Saccharomyces cerevisiae S288C: one gene and its partners. Each later gene encodes a partner of the first gene's protein in a complex. Each region holds a gene or a part of one and is shown in the gene's direction. Other genes may lie near its edges. The genes, in order: MHR1, MRPL24, YML6 and MRP20.

Region 1 (5,187 bases):
GCCATACCAACCATTAATTGATACTGTTTTATTTGATACTCCACTCATTGTATTAGATGGAAAAATCCCTTTACAGAAGCTAGCCTACTTGCTCGGTAAAGAGGATCTGGAATAGTTATAACGGTTGGAGAGGCAAATTGAGGGTTTTATTTATATGTGTACTGAAAATATACCAATTTTTTCAATCAAAAAACCCCGATGCGGCCGGCCGGTATATATGGTAACTAACATGAAATAATGCACCAGAGTAGTTGATGAAATGTTTCTGAAGAATAAGGCGATAAACGATAGGCAACTGTGTAGATTTAAATATTTGGCCAATCTCTATGTACTTTCTCTTTTTTTCCAGTGTCAAATACTTGTAGAAACAGTCTAATTCATTAAGAAAGTATATAAAATCTCTCTATATTATACAGGCTACTTCTTTTAGGAAACGTCACATTCATGTGTAATTAGGGGTATTGGATCTTGTTGATCTAAACCGTGTACCATTTGCGGCAGCTTTTTCCACCTGGACGTTGTTTTTGTTTTTTAAGTCGTACTGTCGGTTCATTAAGGTTATGTAATTCTTTAAGAATTTGTTTCTTGCTTTAAGCGACTGAAAATCATTCTGTAAACGTTCCAGCTCCTTCTTCAAGCTTTCTGTGGAAAATTTAGTCAGTGGACCATTAACTTCGTTTTCTAAAGACTTCATTGATTCTTGCAAAATTTTCAATGTTTGCGCGGACTCTGCGGCTTTTGAAGATTCTATTTGATATTTGGAACGTAGTTCATCATTGAGCTTTGATTTTTCCGCATTTGCTTGTTGGAGTTCCTTTAACTTATTAAAAAGAGTCGCATTTTTGTCTATGTATTCCTTCAACTTGTCTGCTAAGGCAGATCCCTCTTCCAGATGATTTTCTGATGAAATAGTATTCGAGGGCAATTTGTTGAAATTCTCTAGTTCCTGCCTATTTTTCAGTAAGTGATTTATTTTATTTTGTAGCTTGGTAGATTCTGTCATCGCATGCTTCAACCTTTTTTCAGAGTCATTAATGGATTTTTCCACTTCTTGTTTTTTCTTGAATGTAAGACCAACAGAATTCTTTATTTCGTCCAACTGGTTCTGCCGTTGAGTTTCGTTTAATCGTTTCTCGTACAGTGGAACAGTGCCTTTGGCATACTCGTCCTGTATATCTCGCAATCTTATGACGGCTCTATGCATTAACTCTGTTTGGTAGGTTTTGATATCCAATGGTCCGTCCCAAAGGGGCAATTCTGTAGACGAATATTGCAATTTTGTTAATTGAGGCTGCCAAAACCCAGAATCGCTCGAATCTTTGGAGGCCTCATCTAACGTTATCAAATCCAAAACCGGTAAAATGTTATTGCAATCTTTCCCCTCTAAACAACACTTTACCAATTTAATATAATCAATCTCACAGTTGTTCACCGGAGCATTCCTTGCTTGCAAAAAATATAGTAAGGAGGATTTGATCTCTTCATATTCTTGGCTATCATCGACATGACCGTTATTGCTCAAATGCGACGATTTAACACTTGAATTCTTGATTTCAGAATCTAACAAGTAATGATCTGGAGAATTTTGTACTAATAGCTTTATTATCGGAATATCCTTATTGGCATTATTCCTCAGTACCTGCAAAGCGGGCAATTCAACTTCCAACATTGGATCAAAACTAATTATCATATCTATATCATAGTTAGCCAATAGGTATTGATCGTGTTTGAGATGTTTGGTAGTGGCTAAAAACAGCCAGTCATCCGTATTTATTTTTCTTTTTTTCAGGTTTCTTTTCACTGAGTAATCATAGTCGTCCTTAGAATAACCTGTATAAGAGGTCGAATTGGAATTAGAGCTTGTGCTGCTTACAGAATTTGGTGTTCCATCTTTATTTATTGTGGAATCGACCGTAGGTAGATTAGGGAATTTGTGTTTCTCATTATAAAGAGATGTACCGGAAAGTCTCTTGGTTCTGAATTTCTTGCCTAATATTAAACCTTCTAGCAAATCTAATTCCTTTATGCTGTGTGCGATGATGGCACATTTTATAACTTCGTTTGGTGAGCCCTCTCTGTCTCTAAAGCATATCGAATTAATGAGCTGGTTGAGAACTTGAAACTTGTGGCTCCCAGCAATAGAGCTTTCCGTGGGCTCCATTCTCAAAAGCTGTCGAGGCATATAATGGTCCACTAGAAGGGAAGGATGATTGGCTATTGCTCTTATGTTTGAATCAAAGATATAGGTTAATTGCCTTTGTGATAGCGTTGGATACGGATGTGTTTCAGGGCCAGCAGGTAAGCCGGAAGGCTTGTTCACTGCATCTGCCTGTGGTTCTCCTATTATGCTTGCTTTGAATGACTTGGCGTGCAGGGATATCAAAATTTCTGATAAATCCTTTTGAAATTGGGTTAGCGTTACAGGTAAGTAATAGACTTTTAGTTTCTTAGAATTTTTCCTACTCATGTCGATAGTATTGTATCTATTTTCTTTATTTTTCACACACTAATGAAGCCAAATACTTTTACTACTACTTAAACGCCTTCAATCGTTCTCAATTCTGTCTTTTTAAAAAAAAAAATTTTTTGTTACCTCTCCTTTCTCGATGTTCTACTAGTTGTGGTTACTCTTCTGTGCCGCAATTATGTTATTTTAGTAGGACTGTATTTTTTTTTTTTCTTTTGTTGTCGCTTTTCTTATATATCTATATAACTATTTATTTGGGCTGTAGAGAACTTTCTCAGGAAATATAAACTAGGAGACATTCGTGTAAGCAATGAACCATATACGCCACGGTTAAATTTCAGACGTGCATAAAGTTGATGATTCCTGTCAAGTTAACGACTCATTTTGTACGGTAGACGGGAAAAATACATTTCCTACAATATTCTCTTTTCCGATATTCAGATACTAAAGGAAAAAGTGAAAGTAAGGCTATATGATGAAATGTAGAGGAAACGGAAAGAGGAGATCCTGTGAGGAATAAATAGAGAAACAGCGACGGAAAAATCGATATTTCAGGGCAAAAGCATGAAGGTAAACCATTCAATTTCAAGATTCCGCCCCGCTTCATGGTTCGAAAAGACAAAGATAATCCCACCCCAGGTATACATCTTTAGGAACCTAGAGTATGGACAAGTACTATATTCTCAATTTCCCAACTTTTCGCAAACACAGGTGGATAAGCTGTTTGTGAGACCAAACTGGAGCAACAGAAAGCCATCATTGAGAAGGGACATCTGGAAATGTATGTGTGTAGTGAACTTGCAAAACTATAAGCAGAGTGTCCATCTATACCAGAACCTCTGCCGGTTGAGATACCTCCGTGATGTGGCACAGCGTAAGGAGAGTGACAAGCTAAGAAAAAAGGACTCTAACGGGCACGTCTGGTATAGCGGACAGTATAGACCTACATATTGTCAAGAGGCAGTGGCAGACTTGCGGGAGTCCTTGTTGAAGGTGTTTGAGAATGCCACACCAGCAGAAAAGCAGACAGTACCCGCCAAAAAACCGTCCATATACTGGGAGGACCCATGGAGGATGGGTGACAAGGACAAACATTGGAATTACGATGTGTTCAATGCTCTGGGGCTGGAACACAAGCTTATTCAGCGTGTGGGGAACATTGCGAGGGAAGAAAGCGTTATTCTGAAGGAACTAGCTAAGCTCGAATCACATCCTACAGAGCAGACGGAAGTGTCTTCCCAGTAGAACGCTTCGTCATTAGATATACAAATGCAGGTAGAAAAAAAAACATATATAAGCTCATGTAAATAGTGCAATGCAAACCTTTCTGCCAAATCCCGTTCCACGGAAAAACACGTGCTGTGCGGGTATCCGCAAAAAGAAGATAGGTCAAAACAGGAATACACAGGGCTAGTCTTTATTACTGCCGCTGCTGCTGCTGCCGCTGCTACTGCTGCTGTTGTGTGACTTGAAACGCGTTTTATCCTCCTCACCTTATCGTCATTTCTCTATCTTTTTCACTTGCACAGCTTAATAAGCTTTTCGACCTCCTGTTTCCTATTGTCTTATTCCCTCACCCCGCGTCCTTCTTCGGGCAGTCGCGCTTTTCTCCGGCTTCTGCGGTTTTTCTTAGTCTTTCCGCACCAATTTTCACAGAAAAATTTCTTTTTGGGTTACTAAAAATTTCTTGTTTGCTATTGTCTTGATTTATTTCACTCTTTCTTCATCCTGCTGCGCTGTTGTTGCCGCATTTTTCGTTTCGTGTTTTGGGATTATAAAAGAAGTAACGATTTACATATCTTCTATTCCCTTGCATTTACTCCGGGTCTTCGTCTTTACTGTTTGGTCTGGGTATTTCTAACATTCTAGTCCGAAGAGGGTGTATACGAAAAGAAAATATACGATGAACGTAACATCGAATGCAACTGCAGCCGGTTCCTTTCCACTAGCATTTGGTCTCAAGACCTCATTTGGGTTTATGCACTATGCCAAGGCCCCTGCCATTAATTTACGCCCCAAGGAATCCTTGCTGCCGGAAATGAGTGATGGTGTGCTGGCCTTGGTTGCGCCGGTTGTTGCCTACTGGGCGTTGTCTGGTATATTCCATGTAATAGACACTTTCCATCTGGCTGAGAAGTACAGAATTCATCCGAGCGAAGAGGTTGCCAAGAGGAACAAGGCGTCGAGAATGCATGTTTTCCTTGAAGTGATTCTACAACATATCATACAGACCATTGTTGGCCTTATCTTTATGCACTTCGAGCCGATCTACATGACTGGGTTTGAAGAAAATGCCATGTGGAAGCTTCGTGCAGACCTTCCTCGGATTATTCCAGATGCCGCTATTTATTACGGCTATATGTACGGAATGTCCGCTTTGAAGATCTTTGCAGGCTTTTTATTCGTTGATACATGGCAATACTTTTTGCATAGATTGATGCATATGAATAAGACCTTATACAAATGGTTCCACTCTGTTCATCATGAACTATACGTGCCATATGCTTACGGTGCTCTTTTCAACAATCCTGTTGAGGGCTTCTTGTTAGATACTTTGGGAACCGGTATTGCCATGACGTTAACTCATTTGACTCACAGAGAGCAAATCATTCTTTTTACCTTTGCCACCATGAAGACTGTCGATGACCACTGTGGGTATGCTTTGCCACTTGACCCATTCCAATGGCTTTTCCCTAATAACGCTGTCTATCACGATATCC
Region 2 (5,239 bases), on another chromosome or scaffold:
TGCGAGGAGGAGGCAAATGCATTTGGTCTACTTGTACGCCTAATGAAAGTTTACGGTTTAAGACTCTTGTTCTTACCAAGTGCTTCTGAGATCGATATTCTTTGCTATAAATTTGATAGACTTGTAGAAGAATTTTATCCTGAAATTCACAACCACATGGTTGAAAAAGGCGTCCGTTCTTCCATGTTTTTGCCCGGTTTCTTCACGACACTGTTTCAAAAGAAACTTCCCACTGAAATTCAACCACGTATCGGTGATATGGTATTTTTAGAAGGTATTGACTCTATTATGAGAATTTTAGCCACACTTTTATCTAATTCCCGAGACCATCTGTTAAAAATGGGTTTTGATGATATGCTGGAGCTATTGAAATCAGGTCTGTTAGATGCTTATATTAAGCAGAATGATGGTACACGCGGTGACACTCTTCTCTCAAATGAATGTATGGATAAATTACTACAAGACTCTATGATGAAAGTAGCAATAACCCCAAAGACTATGAAGAAATATTCTTCTGAATATGAGGAAATTCACAGATTGGACAATGAAAAAGAAGTGCAATATAAGTCTATCACGGAAAAAAATTTACATTTACAAAAGCATGTTCGTAAATTAGAAAACGACTACACATCTTTAAATAGAGAGCATGTGACAATTGCGAACGAGTTAGTGAAAAATCGGCTTAATATCGAGTCTGTATTAAATGAAAATAATGGTTACAAACTTCAAATTTTAGATTTGAAGAAAAAGTTGGATTCAGAAAAAAAGAAGCAAGTTTTAGGTGTATATGTGCCCAATGATTTAAAGAAAGATTTGGAAGAGACAATGAAAAAGAATACCCAAGTAATGGACGAAAATTTGAAATTGCAGGATAGGATTTCAGAACTAGAAAGGCTTATTGAAGAAATAAAAACTGCAAACAAAAATGGTACGTTATTCGAATATTCTAATTCTAAAAATAATCCTTTGGGAGCCGGCTGGTCAGGATTTAAAAAGGTTTTTAAATAGTTAAACTGTGTATATCAGCTACTGCTCCCCTTGAATGATACATGACTAAATATAATGATAAATTTATTTCTTGATTTTTGATTATTTCATATTTTGTTGACATTTGAGAGCTTCAATTGTATAAAGTTGCAAGATAATATATGAGGTTAGGGAAGCCGGATAAAGAAAATAGAGTACTTTAAAACTGTTCATGGACTAAGAATTCAGTGACGATGAAGTAGTAAAGGAGAGTGTTTAGGATATAAATAAGACCGAGAAATTGTTAGTAAGCATTACTTCTAGCAGAAATAATGAACCACAATCGTGACAATATATACTCGAGTTAGCAGTTAACAGTAACCCTTTCCATACCATTCTAAACTTTGCAACAGTAAATATCTTGGCGTTTAACGTTTTATTTTATTCTACGTTTCTCAAATATCGGCTGTACTCATGTGGCACATCATGAAAAGAGCCTTCATATCAAGAATTCAAGAATTTTAATTACATCGTGACAACGGTTTCCTAAACTTTTAGTAAAAACAATTAAATGTGCAATTTTGTTGATTATACTGTGGACAAATTGAGCTTAGTACGTTTCCTTCTTCTCTTTCTGCAATTATATTTAATTAAATAATCTCGTATTCTCGCATCCGGGCACGCTTTGTGAAATTCATTTGAGAAACCAAAAACAGCTGATCAGCTAGAGCTATTAGAAGTTAGTGCCCAGGGGTATAGAAAAATCAGTTTAAGGAAGAAAAAGCTCACAGAAGAATATGCAAAAAATTTTCAGACCATTCCAATTAACGAGAGGCTTTACCTCTTCCGTAAAAAACTTCAGGCAATGGAGACTGATTGAAACAAGGAAGATTGCCAAACAACCGAACTACCAAGTTGGTGATGCTAAACCTTTACATATGCCAAAAGAAAGAAAGAAATTTCCAGATTACAAGTATGGGGAATCTAATATCTTCAAACAGAGTAACAAAGGTCTATATGGTGGATCTTTCGTTCAGTTTGGTAACAATATTTCTGAAAGTAAAGCCAAAACGAGGAAGAAGTGGTTGCCAAATGTTGTCAAAAAAGGTCTCTGGAGTGAGACTCTGAACAGAAAAATCAGTATCAAAATGACCGCTAAAGTTTTAAAAACAATCAGTAAAGAAGGAGGGATTGACAACTATTTAACAAAGGAAAAATCTGCAAGAATAAAAGAATTAGGGCCGACCGGATGGAAGCTTCGTTATAGGGTTTTAAAAAGAAAAGATGAAATAGAGAATCCCCCACATAAGGATGCACCTATCATAGAAATGGCTGGTGGTAAAAAGGCCAAAATTTACTATGATGAAATAGTAAACGGCTCACCAAGAAAAATATCAGTTGGAAGAAGAAGATTGATGTCATTTTTATATCCTTTAGAGAAATTGGAATATAGGTCAGTAGGGAAGGACCTGAACTACAAAAAATTTGTCGAGTTATTTGCCGACGTTCCAGTCAAGGATATCCTAGCTAGATTAGAGGATCATAAATTCGACTTATCCACCATCACCGTATAAAAGGAAGAAATAAAGAAGATAATTGCCATTCCGAAAATATCGTTGGTTTTCCCCTGTATATAAAAAAGCATATCTGTTTGTACATATGTAGGTATGCACACATTCTGAACATTATTGATGCGTATATGCTTGCTACATTAATTGGCAATTCATTTTTTAGACTGTTTTACACCCGTACATTTCACAGTTTTTTTTTGAAGTTAAATTCCAACTGAATGGAAGCCTCCGCTCCTATGAAATTTATTTGAAATCAGAGATTTCAGGATGTTGAACAGTATAGTACTGATTTACAAGTATCAAAGAAACAAGAAAGACAGCAAACACAATAAGAAATGACCGTTAAGACAGGTATGTGAGACATAAACAAGGAACTGAACGGGTTATGACGATTTTCGAACTTATAAAGGGGTTTACCCCAAATACGAGAAGAACATGAGTGCATTGAAAACTTAAAAGGAAACAAAAACAAGAATATTATATAATTTTGAGTGATTAATGACCAATGGAAATAGCCAGAGGAAAAATACCATTTAATATGCATACACAGGCTTATCTCTTCACTCCTATCTAAAAAACTATTGTGTTTGAAGATGAGGTCCATTTTACAAAAAGAATAGTATTGCGAAAACGCCTTCAAATGGAACATTTTAGTAGTTGCACCATTGTAAGAATTGCCATGGAAAACAATCACAAAAAGATGCTATACAAAGCCGTACATTATACGTCACTTCCCGCCGACACATATACACGTGTATATGTATGCCTATTTCACATGTTACTAACTGAAGACAACCTGTGTCCTTATATTTAGGAATTGCTATTGGTTTAAACAAAGGTAAGAAGGTCACTAGCATGACCCCAGCTCCAAAAATCTCTTACAAGAAAGGTGCTGCTTCCAACAGAACCAAGTTCGTAAGATCTTTGGTCAGAGAAATCGCTGGTTTGTCTCCATACGAAAGAAGATTGATTGATCTAATAAGAAACTCTGGTGAAAAGAGAGCTAGAAAGGTCGCCAAGAAGAGATTGGGTTCTTTCACCAGAGCCAAGGCTAAGGTCGAAGAAATGAACAACATCATTGCTGCTTCTCGTCGTCACTAAGTTTCTAAAAACTGATTTTTGTAATATATATATAGATATCATATTTTCTTTTTAACTTAGGAAAAAATAACACCAAAAAAAAAACCACCAATACTTTCACACATGAGAGGGCCTAGAGTAAAGTACCACTAGCCATGCAAAAAGCCCATGTACTGAGCTGATAGTCGTTACCAACCCTACATTTTTTTTCTGAAGCAATATAAGTGTTACCCGAAAAGTATGAATATTATTTTTTCTTCGTACCGTTATATCTTTTTCTGGTATATAAAGCGGTGAGTTTAGAAGAAGTTCCTGTGGTGCAAGAATCTTTATTGGTATTTAAAAAATCTTTTCTTTTCCTTTTTTTGGTTTTTTGAAAAAGGGTAATAATGTCTTTTATAATAGACACCCAGAGTCACGATTCGTCTTGGTTTTAGAGATTCTGTTTCGACAGTTTTTTTAGGCGGTGGACGTATATAGTTTACTTAATCGTTTACTATACGGTGGAGTACTAATACTATTTCACTGTCGTGCTCGCGGTTGATCTTAGATAAATATATTTCTTTTTCATAAAGAAAGTGAGTGGATCTTCCCTGGAAGTACGAATAATGTACTTATGATTAGATTCTCTTCACGCACATACCTTTTTTTTTTTTTCAATTGCTAGTTCATACATACGTAGAAAGAAGGGCCAATTGGAAGCCTCAACTGTCCCCTGGTGTAAGCTTTCGCTGTTTCATCTTCAACTCAAGAAGCGAAGGTAGCGGACAGCAGGGTGACCGTGAATCTTTTCCATTGTCATTGTAAAATTTTGAGCAGCAGATGTACAGCTGATCTATAACTTTAGCGCATTTAGCATCATCGTACTGATGTGATAGAAGGCAATCTAAAATTAATGTGAAAAAACGTTAGTGAAAAGAAAAAAACGATCGAATCTTTTGAAGTTAATATTACAAACCTTGGATGGCGCAGGCCTCCTTCTGGCATGGATTAGACATATTTACCTCTTATTTGAACAAATCTCAACAACTAAAAAAACGCTCAATATCTTGGAAAAAAAGAACAGTAATATTCTGTCTCTCCACACCCTCTTCTGAACTCTCATATACACCCCATGGGTGAAAAGTAATATCCGTAAAAGTCTCGCTAACGGATGACGTTAACAACGCACGCCCGCTCCTTGCGAAATTTATTGTGGGGACGTCGTTCACGTGCAAAAGTCGCCAAATATTAGCGACGGGCAACATCGGAAAAACTCTGCGCCCGCGATTCCGATTGAGATGTGTAATTTGTAGTATTGAACGTGACAGGAAACAAAAAATATCAAAACGCTAGCAAGGTTTAAGGGGAGGGGTGAAGAACGAACGATAGGATACTGCACAAATCAGCAATTAAGAAACAATATACAAAAACCCCCAAAGTGGTCATGTTAAGGAGGGCATTTTTCCGCATGGAAACGAAACGTGGGCATGACGTGGAAGCGATGATCCGAGCGCTTCTGCTACTGTGGTGACCACCGTACCAAAGGAGGGGTAATAAGACCCTGTGCCCTTTGCCAGCATACGTGTTACCCCCCTCAAAAAGAGCTGGCTGTTCGAGCTAGCTGCTCTTTCTGTTGCCAT
Region 3 (5,563 bases), on another chromosome or scaffold:
CAATGTAGCCAAGCTTCGTATGAAGAAGCCGTTTTGAATATTGAAAAGTGTGACGTCTGCCTACTGGTCCTACTACGATATCTTCTGCATTTGATCGGGACCGAAGCGATATTAGACGCTAAGGAACAGTTAGAAATGTTACATGCGATTGAGAAAAATGATTCAGGGAGGCGACAGTGGGCCAAGGCGCTTAACTTAGGAAATGATCCGCCTTTATTGTATCCCATAGTCTCCCAAATGTTTGGCGTTCATGATAAAAGTGTAATTATAGAATAAGTAACTAATTTTTCTATTTTTTCTGGATAAGTATAATGAGTAAGAAAGGAAACAGAGTCAATGTTAAAAAATATAAATAATTCCAAGTCAAAGATGATAGCCCTTTGGTATCAAAGCATAAACATTGCGCGCAATGTATGTATGGCCAAGGAGCTACATAAAACGCTTCGCTCTTAATTAGTAAATATAATAATATTTTTTTATTTAATTATACATTAAAGAATAAACAAAAATTAAAAAAGAAAAGGCAAATATTTTGAATAGTAAATTATTTTAAATAGCTTTCTAATTTAATTTTAAACTCTCTTTCTGTAACGTCTGTCTCTTTGGGCAGAAACGTTGATAACAGATAATGGCAACTTCAAACCCAAAGATTTAACCAAGTCAGAAGTTTGGTTGTCAACGTTCAAAACACCGTTAGAACGAGACAAGTCCAAAGCAGAGACTTCTGGGACGTATTGGTCCTTTCTTTCTCTTTCTTCTTCTTGCAATTTGAAAGAGATACCTCTAACTGGACCCTTTTGGATTCTCTTCATCAAATGGGTGGTGTAACCAGCAATCTTGTTTCTCAATCTCTTGGATTGGATAGTGGCGATTTCATCACAAAGTCTCTTGTTGGTTTGGAAATCCAAAGTCAACTTTGGATAGTAACGTTCAATCAAAGCCTTAGAAGCACGCTTGACGGTCTTGGTTCTAACTCTACCCTATTAAAATGACGAAAAGCAATACAAAATAAAAAGTTTGTAAATGCAATTCAACTTGTTAGTATACTGATATCAAAAACACATTATAATGTGTAGAGGCAGTTCATGGCGCCATATTATCCCTTGTTCAACTATGCAAAAAGAAGATCCACAAGAGACTGAATCTCCGGTGATACTGCTATAGGCATTTTAACTCCCAATTTTTTGGAAAGCCACTGCAACTATAGCCAAAACATGAGTATCATTTCAATCACACCACTTTTTCGGTATCGCAGTTCCATATCGTCTGAAAATATCGTCATATGTTTTCTTTAACTTATTTATTGTATGACTTTATTGCGCATGTCGACTCAATATTACGTGTCCTTAAAAGCCTCCTTTAGTCCATATTAACATACCATTTTGTTATTGCTAGTCTCGAGATCTTGACTTTTCTTAGAATTAAGTCGATTAATGCTTGATTAATACCTAATTTCATACATATTACGCTAATATGCCAGTAAAAGCGATCACGACGATAGCTACAGCATGAAAGATTGGCTTAGGAAGCACCATTCCGTTGCCCACAGCAAGCCGGCTGAGCCCAGGCGCTGTTGCACGTACCCAACAAACCTCGTCTCTGCCATTGGTCTATTGTCCTCCTGGACAGGCCGCCTCCTGTGGCAAAGCAGATTCCCAAACGGGGCCAAAAAATTAAGTAGAACTCCCAGTTTTTTGGAAAATAAAAAATAGAATGTACGGATGTAATGCACGGATGTTAAACCGGAAAAAAGGTTACTGGGTCACCCTGGGATACCAAGAATGAGTCTCAAAAAGTTCGAAATAGAAAAGTATAATACAGAGGTTCCATTAATAATGGGGGAGATACATTCAAAGGACGCCAATGCGAATAATCTTTCGTTCAACTAGGGTGAAATAATAATAATGACGATAAAAAGAAATTTGGTGAAAGTACGTATCAGAGGATCGTCCCTCGCTCTTTTTCCATTTGGTTGTCGATTTTCTGAAGATGAATCCGTATACTAACATTACAACCATTTTATGCAATAGACTTTACAATCTATACGCTACCAAGCTACCACTGCCACCGCACATGCAGAATCCACGTTAAACCCTCTGCCAAACGCAGCCATTCCTCCCAAATACGCCTTAGTTACCGTTCGCTCCTTTCCATCATTAGAACCATTGACATTTGTGCCGGTCCCCACATCAACTGTAGCTGCTCCATTAAGGCGTGATATACTATGGAGAGCCGTAGTTTATGAAAACGATAATAGAAGAGTAGGCGCCTCAAATCCTCCCGGGAGAAGTGAAAACGGGTTTTCCAGACGTAAATTGATGCCCCAAAAGGGTTCTGGTAGGGCAAGAGTCGGGGATGCTAACTCTCCAACAAGACATAATGGTGGTAGGGCATTGGCAAGAACTGCACCAAACGACTATACTACAGAGCTACCATCCAAGGTTTATTCCATGGCTTTCAACAACGCTTTGAGCCACCAATATAAAAGTGGAAAGTTGTTTGTTATTGGTGGTGAAAAGGTCGACTTAATATCTCCCACACCAGAACTCGACTTGAACAGGCTGGATCTTGTGAATACAAACACAGTTGAGGGCAAAGAGATTTTTGAGGGCGAAGTCATCTTCAGAAAATTCTTGGAGGAATTTCAACTTAAAGGTAAGAGATTACTTTTCATTACAGACAAGACTAGGGAAGGGCTGATAAAGAGTTCTGATCCATACAAACAAAAAGTAGATGTTATACAGAAAGAACTTGTTGAGGTAAATGACATACTAAGAGCCCAAGCTGTTTTTATCGAATTGGAAGCTCTTGAATATCTAGCAATGGCCCATCAGAAAGAAATCCTTCACTCCGTGTCTAACTGATTTTCATATGTACACATACAAGTGACCCCTTCTTCTACCCCATCCAGTTATTATTCCATCTACATATTTAAAAAATAATCTGTAAATAATAAGCCCATGAAATATCAATCTCACAATGAAAGAATTGTATAATTCAGAATGATTTGACGTAAAAGCAAGTCTCATTCAAGAAACTGTAAAATCCGTACACACTACTGAATTTTACATCCATACATTTTTTTGAAATTTCATGTTTTTTTGAAAAATTGGAAAAGGGCTAAATTATCCGTCGGGGTGTCCTCCTAGCTCGGCTCAACCTAGGCAAATGCGTTTACTGGGGCCATCCAAGCTCATCCTTCCAGAGATTCGCCTTTCAGAGGCAAAGAACTCGTCTCCGCAGGCCTCTTGTTCCGGGAGGAGGAGAATTCTTGCGCGGAAACTGGTTGATGCCTGGGCTATGGTAATTCTGACACCTTTGCTATCCTAACTGGAAAAGGTCCTTAGTAATAACAATATCAGGTACTTTAACATTGTTAAAGATATACTATTAGTGAAAAACCGATCTTACGAAAAGCCAATAGAGCAGAAAGTGGTAAAGATGTCTTTAGTTGTACAAGAACAAGGTTCCTTCCAACACATTTTACGGTATGTTTTACGAGTACAGTGCAGATATGTTGAGAGAGTTTCACATTACATGGGATAATAGCTTAATATTGCGATTGAAAATATGTGAGTGCACTCCGATGGAATAATAAACGTCACGGGTTACCAAATACGAGGCCGAATTAACTCTACGCTACTATAAAAATTATCACTAGATTTTAAAGTAATACACAGTTTATTGGAAAATACAATATATGACTCAATGCGAATTTAAAAATTTCAGTCAATACAGCTTGACAAATTCATATTTATCGTCCCTCCATGTTCGTACGCCATTCCAAAATGATGCGCCATGTTGAAAATTTCTCGAAGAACCTAGCAGTGGTGTGAAATAAATTACTAACAATAAGATGTACAATTTTTTGTGCGCCCATTACAATCAGTTTGTTGAACACCAATGTCGATGGTAACATTAAAATTGTTTACGCTTTGACCACTATTAAGGGTGTTGGTCGTCGTTACTCCAACTTGGTCTGTAAGAAGGCTGATGTTGATTTGCACAAGAGAGCTGGTGAATTGACCCAAGAAGAATTGGAAAGAATTGTCCAAATCATGCAAAACCCAACTCATTACAAGATCCCAGCCTGGTTCTTAAACCGTCAAAACGACATTACTGATGGTAAGGACTACCACACTTTGGCTAACAACGTCGAATCCAAGTTGAGAGATGACTTGGAAAGATTAAAGAAGATCAGAGCCCACCGTGGTATTAGACACTTCTGGGGTTTACGTGTTAGAGGTCAACACACCAAGACCACTGGTAGAAGAAGAGCTTAAATCAATTAAGGAAATTATCAGTAATAATTGTACGCTATTTTCGTTTTTATTATCTTTATTTTCTTTTTTTATTCTTCAAAGGAGAAAGTACTACACGTGTTTTCAGACCAATGTGTGTTTAATCAACTTTTTATTCTATGTATAACATATAAGCAAAAAAAGATATAATATAATTAAGTTTTATACGGTAAACATCGTTAACATCACTCAACCGGGGTGAGAAAGTACCATCGATGGAACTGCACTTTATTTTGACTACATGTAAAGTTAAAAGAGGTGTTATAGAAGTCTTTTAAAAAACGTAAGGTAATTAGAAAACAATTGTATATTTTATGATATATGCTAGGACTGAAGTGAACAATGATATGTATGAATGCCGTATAGGGAAATGAATTTGCGAATAAATAATGACTAGAGATTAGATCAACCACGGAAAGCGTTCGGATCAAGATCCTTCAACGGTTGTTGATCGACGATCTTGAATCCGAATTTTCTCTTCCTTTTAGGGGAGCCGGAGGGATTGCTTACCGGACGCTTGGCTTTGGATGGAGAATGATCTATGCTATTGATCAATTTATTTACTCTGCTGTTGGGAGACGTTTTCACGGGAGTCAACGTCTTCTTTTGTGGGTTTAGATGGAATGTTAAAGCCTGGCTTCTCTTTATGCTTGGTGTGGATGAGCGCCTATTTAGGGAATGATGAGGCCTTGGCGGCGTATTTTCCAGCGGTGAAGAAGAGGAAGAACGAGAACATGAGCTTCCATCACGAAGTATGTCCGCCTTGACTCTGGATGCTAGTGGCGTAGCATGAACGTCCAGAGGCGGAGATGGTGGAGATACCGTTTGTATTATAGTGGTTGACTTCGAAGTGGCGATTCTCTGCCTTTTAACCGCTTGTCTTTTATTCTGGAACCATATTTGAACGGCTTTTTCAGTCATATGGCAAGATTCAGCTAACTCAATTCGTTTCTCCTTCGATGGAGCAGGACATTTTTCAAATTCAGCCTGAAGAATAGATAGTTCCTGGGACGAGGTTCTTCTTCTCTTTCGGCGTGCTAGTGGAGCGTTGTCGATCTTAGGCTCCTTCTTAGGGAAGGTCTCCTGCGAGTGTGTGATGAAAGCAAATGCACGTCTTTTTTCCTTAGAGGCAGAGGGGATAATAATCGACTTCGCTGCAGAGAGTGGTGTTAATATGTCGTTTTTCTTTGAAGAAACCGAATAATCTCTCTTTTTGCTATTTAGGGGAGTCAGTAGAAGGTTTTCGTGTGATTCATCAACTG
Region 4 (5,038 bases), 220 kb from region 1:
CGCCAGATTCGTGGGTGTGTTACAACAGTTGAGAATGAAAATTCTTTCAATAACTGGTTCGTATATCATATTTTAGACCAATCTCAATTATCTCTAAGTGAACATCCAATTGTAACCAAAGAAGTTAAGTATCACGAATTATTTGCAGATTTTTTTGAGAAAAATTTGAAAAACACAATAGTTAATGATCAATGGAATTTTGGTGGCCGTGATTATTTTATTGAACGTTCAAGATATTTTACCGATCGATATTTGAGAATTGAATGCATCTTGCCAGCGTTTCCATGTAAGTCATCTAATGAGCAAAAAGTGTACGGTTCCGTTCCTGACAAAGGCGAAGAACTCGCTTTGAAAAGATTAATAAAAGCCACACAAGACCTTGTCAAGATATATCCACCGGGTATGAAAATTTGGATAGTTAGTGATGGCCATGTTTTCTCCGATTGTATTGGGGTCGATGATGACGTCGTGAGTACTTACACGACCAAATTGCACGAACTGTATAAAAGAGTGGCTATACCTGGTGTTGACGCCATTGGCTTTTGTGGATTGAACGATTTATTTTTTAGCGGTGCAGCTAGTAAAGTTTTCGATCCAAAGTGGGTTAGTGATGTTGAAGTTGCACACTACACAGGAACTCAAATCTGTCCTAAGTCCGATTTGTCGAGACAGATTTTGATGAAAGGCTGTGATACAGATGCAGGTCGTTTGAGAAAGCAGATTGCAATAGAAGGACATCCAAGATTGCATCTGTATAGGGGCTTTTCACGTTTTATGATGGAAGATTTATCTCTACTGGAACATTTCCAAAGTTATTCCAGAAAAAAATTCAAGAAAATCATTTCAATGATCGCTTTTAACATGATTAAGAGAAATGACGCGTATTCGAACTTAGTGGAATTGATATTCCCTCATCATTTGAGAATTTCTATTCATGCGCACACTAACAGCGGGCCCAAATTTGGTATAAAAGTAATCTCCAACGAACAGTGTTCTATTGTTAGTTCGTTAGAAGACCTTGATGAACCCAAATTTGAAGATTTTTTACATATTCCCACACCTTGGCATAATTGTGTCGTGAAGGTTGAGGATGAAAAGGAGAAATACTTTTTGACAAAATCAAAAGTAGTCAAGGAGGCTCTCGAAAAGGGTATGTATGATGGTGTATGGAAAGATACTCGTTTCGATATTGGAGAAGGAGGACATTTCGTTATCAAGAAAATCTCTTAATAAAGTAAGAGCGCTACATTGGTCTACCTTTTTGTTCTTTTACTTAAACATTAGTTAGTTCGTTTTCTTTTTCTCATTTTTTTATGTTTCCCCCCCAAAGTTCTGATTTTATAATATTTTATTTCACACAATTCCATTTAACAGAGGGGGAATAGATTCTTTAGCTTAGAAAATTAGTGATCAATATATATTTGCCTTTCTTTTCATCTTTTCAGTGATATTAATGGTTTCGAGACACTGCAATGGCCCTAGTTGTCTAAGAGGATAGATGTTACTGTCAAAGATGATATTTTGAATTTCAATTGACGTAATTAATGATACTATTAATAATACAGAGCGTATATGAAGTATTGCAAATAACATGCACAGTTCTTTTGGGATGAGAATGATAATGAAAGGCGAAGGCGGGCGTTCAGAAAAGCGTTGCGGAGTAACAAGTGATTAAATAGCACCCAAATAATCTTCTTTGATACTACCGATTGCGTGAATAGAACTCACTTGACTGATACAACCTTCAATTTTAACTCTAATTCTACTTTTTATGGTGATGACATCCTCGGAACTTTGGTATGATGGTGGGTTTGAACCCGCATTAAAGGTTAAATCTTGAGGCATCAGATGCTTTGTCACAAATACTTTCATTGGACCTACTTGCACTTCGAACCCGTGCTGAGAACATGAAACGACTGTGCCGTCCACTACTTCCCCTTTAAATGGTTTGAAAACTACAGCTCTATATTTCACGTTGAACTCGGCGGACCCATCTGTGGGCAATATTCTCCCACGTTGAATATCTATATTATCATAGTCTAGGACACAAAGAATATATCCGAATTTACCCGTACACGAACCTTCAACCTCTTCCAATAGTTTTGTCTTTAGATATTGCTTCATTCGAGGACCGAAAAAGGACGGATGAAGGGTAATATTAAGCGAAAGGTCTTTAATAAAAAACATTCTCAGAAATTGAGTTATTTATACAGTGGTTGAAATGTGAATCTATTCTTGGACTTTCCCACTGTCTAATCGCAAAGGAGAATGGTGTAGGAGGAGAAACGGAAAAAGAAAGGCTATGATATTCTGGGAGAAGAGATAGGTGGACAGACCTGATCGACCCAATGTTAGAGAATAAATCGACGAAGTGAGCTTGTCTACGTTATTGGCATTTTCACTGGGATATAGGAATACCGCATTTATTTTCCTTGTATTTTTCAAAATAGCCGTTGAAACCCACAGAAGATCACTTAATACGTAATCGCGTTATACGAATTTTCTCGATGAAAAAGGGAAAACGATGGTATTAGAACTTGAAATGTACATACATTTCTTGTGGAGAACGTAACGCTACTAACAAATAATGTGCTTTGATTAGCAGGCTCCAACAGAAAAAAAAATAAAATAAAAATAAAAAGTACGCAACACCAACACAGAATATGCCACGATTGACGGTTGGAACGAAGAATATGTTGTATCCTTTGCAAAAAACACTTGCAGTAGGAAGTTGCAAGCCAGAGCAGGTTCCAATAAGATCACTAGCCTCAGTGGTGGAGAGTTCCTCCAAAATACTCGACAAAAGCGGCAGCGATCGCGAAGTAGATATAAACGTAAGCGAGAAGATTTATAAGTGGACAAAGGCGGGCATAGAGCAGGGAAAGGAGCATTTCAAAGTTGGAGGTAACAAAGTCTACTTTCCCAAGGCCAGGATCATCCTCTTGAGGCCCAACGCGAAGCACACACCGTATCAAGCAAAATTCATCGTCCCAAAATCGTTCAACAAACTGGATCTCAGAGACTATCTTTATCATATCTACGGCTTAAGAGCAATGAACATTACGACGCAGCTGCTTCATGGGAAGTTTAACCGTATGAACCTACAGACGACGCGGTTTAGAGAACCGCAGATCAAGAAAATGACTATCGAGATGGAAGAACCCTTCATTTGGCCCGAAGAACCCCGTCCGGACGAAAACTCCTTCTGGGACAGCACCACGCCTGACAACATGGAAAAGTACCGTGAAGAAAGACTTAACTGCTTGGGCTCAGACGCCAACAAACCCGGCACAGCATTCGACGGAGTCGTGGGGCCTTACGAACGGGTGGCCCAGCCTTTTATACCTCGCTTCTTAAAACGAGAGATAGACAATAAGCGAGAGCGTCACGCCGCCGAACTGCAGCGCGCAGATAAACTAATTGCCCTGAACAGGTACATAGAAGATCTACATTAGAAGGTTTCCCATTCCACCCCTTCGTTAACCCACACGCAAATACCCAGATAAGCATCTTGCACCCCTCACACTTGTATATACGGAGCAAACTACATAATCTCTAAACAGAAAAAAAAAAAAAGAAAGAAAATTAAGAACATTACTTTTTCCGAGCAACAAACGCAAAAATATATGAAGTGGCTGTAGAACATGCCTTACGGAAGAAAAGAATGATGATGGCATCCCCTTCCCCTGCCCTGGAAGGTGGCCTGTATTTCTGTTCTTTTTTTATTTTTGTTCGCGCAAAGAGCAAGAACATTGGTTGCTTTACTTATTATTTTCAGGGTCGCTTCCGCGGGATGCCATGCACGGATGCCTGCGGAGACAGTGGCGCGGAGCCGTCCGCATGCTCGTTCCGCGGAGAGTCTCGAGCGGGTCCGCGAGGGGCGGATCTGCAACGCACGGTGCCGGGGTTAAGGTATGGCACGATGGTAAGACGATGAGGGAAAAGAATACTGCTACTGCTGTGCGAGACTTTGGTAGTAGGGATCGGAAAGGGAGCATGTACATCTGAGGAATATATAAGCAGGAGCTCTCTACCTGGACCAAATTGCCTTCTTATGTTGCTGTAAAGAGATTTGCTAGTCTTGTTGTAGATACGTCATATGCAGTATTCAAGTATACTACTGTTAAGAACATCACATCACTAATACTATTAGCGTATAACAGTTACTATACGAATATATAAACACACACACACACAAGCAAACACACTTATAATTATCAAAAACCTATGTCATCAGATATCAGAGACGTAGAGGAACGAAATTCGCGGAGCTCGAGCTCAAGCTCGAGCTCGAACTCTGCCGCCCAATCCATTGGACAGCATCCATACCGCGGTTTCGACAGCGAAGCCGCGGAAAGGGTGCATGAGTTGGCTAGAACACTCACATCGCAGAGTTTACTATACACTGCTAACTCAAACAATAGCTCTTCCAGCAACCATAATGCGCACAATGCGGACTCGAGATCCGTATTTTCTACGGACATGGAAGGTGTGAACCCGGTGTTCACTAACCCGGACACCCCGGGATACAATCCCAAATTGGACCCTAACAGTGATCAATTCTCCAGTACGGCGTGGGTACAGAACATGGCAAATATTTGTACTTCGGACCCGGATTTCTATAAACCATACTCACTCGGTTGTGTATGGAAGAATCTAAGCGCCTCCGGAGACTCCGCCGATGTGTCATACCAGTCAACTTTCGCTAACATCGTACCAAAGCTGCTTACGAAAGGGCTCAGATTACTGAAGCCCAGTAAAGAAGAGGACACTTTTCAGATCCTGAAACCCATGGATGGTTGTCTTAATCCCGGTGAACTGTTGGTTGTTCTTGGGAGACCAGGGTCAGGTTGTACTACGCTGCTAAAATCCATATCTTCTAATTCGCACGGGTTCAAGATCGCAAAAGACTCCATTGTCTCTTACAACGGTTTGTCAAGCTCGGATATCAGGAAACATTACCGTGGTGAAGTCGTTTACAATGCGGAATCAGATATTCATTTACCGCATCTTACCGTGTACCAGACGCTTTTCACCG

The links.
Region 2: MHR1 (region 1) and MRPL24 share a complex: the UniProt entries of both Saccharomyces cerevisiae proteins name them as parts of the mitochondrial large ribosomal subunit.
Region 3: MHR1 (region 1) and YML6 share a complex: the UniProt entries of both Saccharomyces cerevisiae proteins name them as parts of the mitochondrial large ribosomal subunit.
Region 4: MHR1 (region 1) and MRP20 share a complex: the UniProt entries of both Saccharomyces cerevisiae proteins name them as parts of the mitochondrial large ribosomal subunit.

Annotation. Positions count from the first base shown.
Region 1 is NC_001136.10:1,052,181-1,057,367, forward strand, and holds MHR1 (mitochondrial 54S ribosomal protein mL67 MHR1), read left to right. Parts: upstream 1-3,031; coding exon 3,032-3,712; downstream 3,713-5,187. Other genes in the region: sphinganine-1-phosphate aldolase DPL1, read right to left, coding at 1-48; HDA2 (Hda2p), read right to left, coding at 443-2,467; SUR2 (sphingosine hydroxylase), read left to right, coding at 4,371-5,187. UniProt on the Saccharomyces cerevisiae protein: Component of the mitochondrial ribosome (mitoribosome), a dedicated translation machinery responsible for the synthesis of mitochondrial genome-encoded proteins, including at least some of the essential transmembrane subunits of the mitochondrial respiratory chain.
Region 2 is NC_001145.3:648,273-653,511, forward strand, and holds MRPL24 (mitochondrial 54S ribosomal protein bL28m MRPL24), read left to right. Parts: upstream 1-1,763; coding exon 1,764-2,540; downstream 2,541-5,239. Other genes in the region: GYL1 (Gyl1p), read left to right, coding at 1-1,008; 60S ribosomal protein eL36 RPL36A, read left to right, coding at 2,873-2,888, 3,352-3,638; CMC4 (Cmc4p), read right to left, coding at 4,322-4,503, 4,576-4,615. UniProt on the Saccharomyces cerevisiae protein: Component of the mitochondrial ribosome (mitoribosome), a dedicated translation machinery responsible for the synthesis of mitochondrial genome-encoded proteins, including at least some of the essential transmembrane subunits of the mitochondrial respiratory chain.
Region 3 is NC_001145.3:221,707-227,269, reverse strand, and holds YML6 (mitochondrial 54S ribosomal protein uL4m YML6), read left to right. Parts: upstream 1-1,904; coding exon 1,905-1,931; intron 1,932-2,030; coding exon 2,031-2,864; downstream 2,865-5,563. Other genes in the region: Smc5-Smc6 complex subunit NSE5, read left to right, coding at 1-276; 40S ribosomal protein eS17 RPS17A, read right to left, coding at 573-980, 1,379-1,381; 40S ribosomal protein uS13 RPS18B, read left to right, coding at 3,442-3,488, 3,890-4,283; YOX1 (Yox1p), read right to left, coding at 4,707-5,563. UniProt on the Saccharomyces cerevisiae protein: Component of the mitochondrial ribosome (mitoribosome), a dedicated translation machinery responsible for the synthesis of mitochondrial genome-encoded proteins, including at least some of the essential transmembrane subunits of the mitochondrial respiratory chain.
Region 4 is NC_001136.10:1,274,983-1,280,020, forward strand, and holds MRP20 (mitochondrial 54S ribosomal protein uL23m MRP20), read left to right. Parts: upstream 1-2,663; coding exon 2,664-3,455; downstream 3,456-5,038. Other genes in the region: DIT1 (Dit1p), read left to right, coding at 1-1,230; DNA-directed RNA polymerase II subunit RPB7, read right to left, coding at 1,672-2,187; ATP-binding cassette multidrug transporter PDR15, read left to right, coding at 4,228-5,038. UniProt on the Saccharomyces cerevisiae protein: Component of the mitochondrial ribosome (mitoribosome), a dedicated translation machinery responsible for the synthesis of mitochondrial genome-encoded proteins, including at least some of the essential transmembrane subunits of the mitochondrial respiratory chain.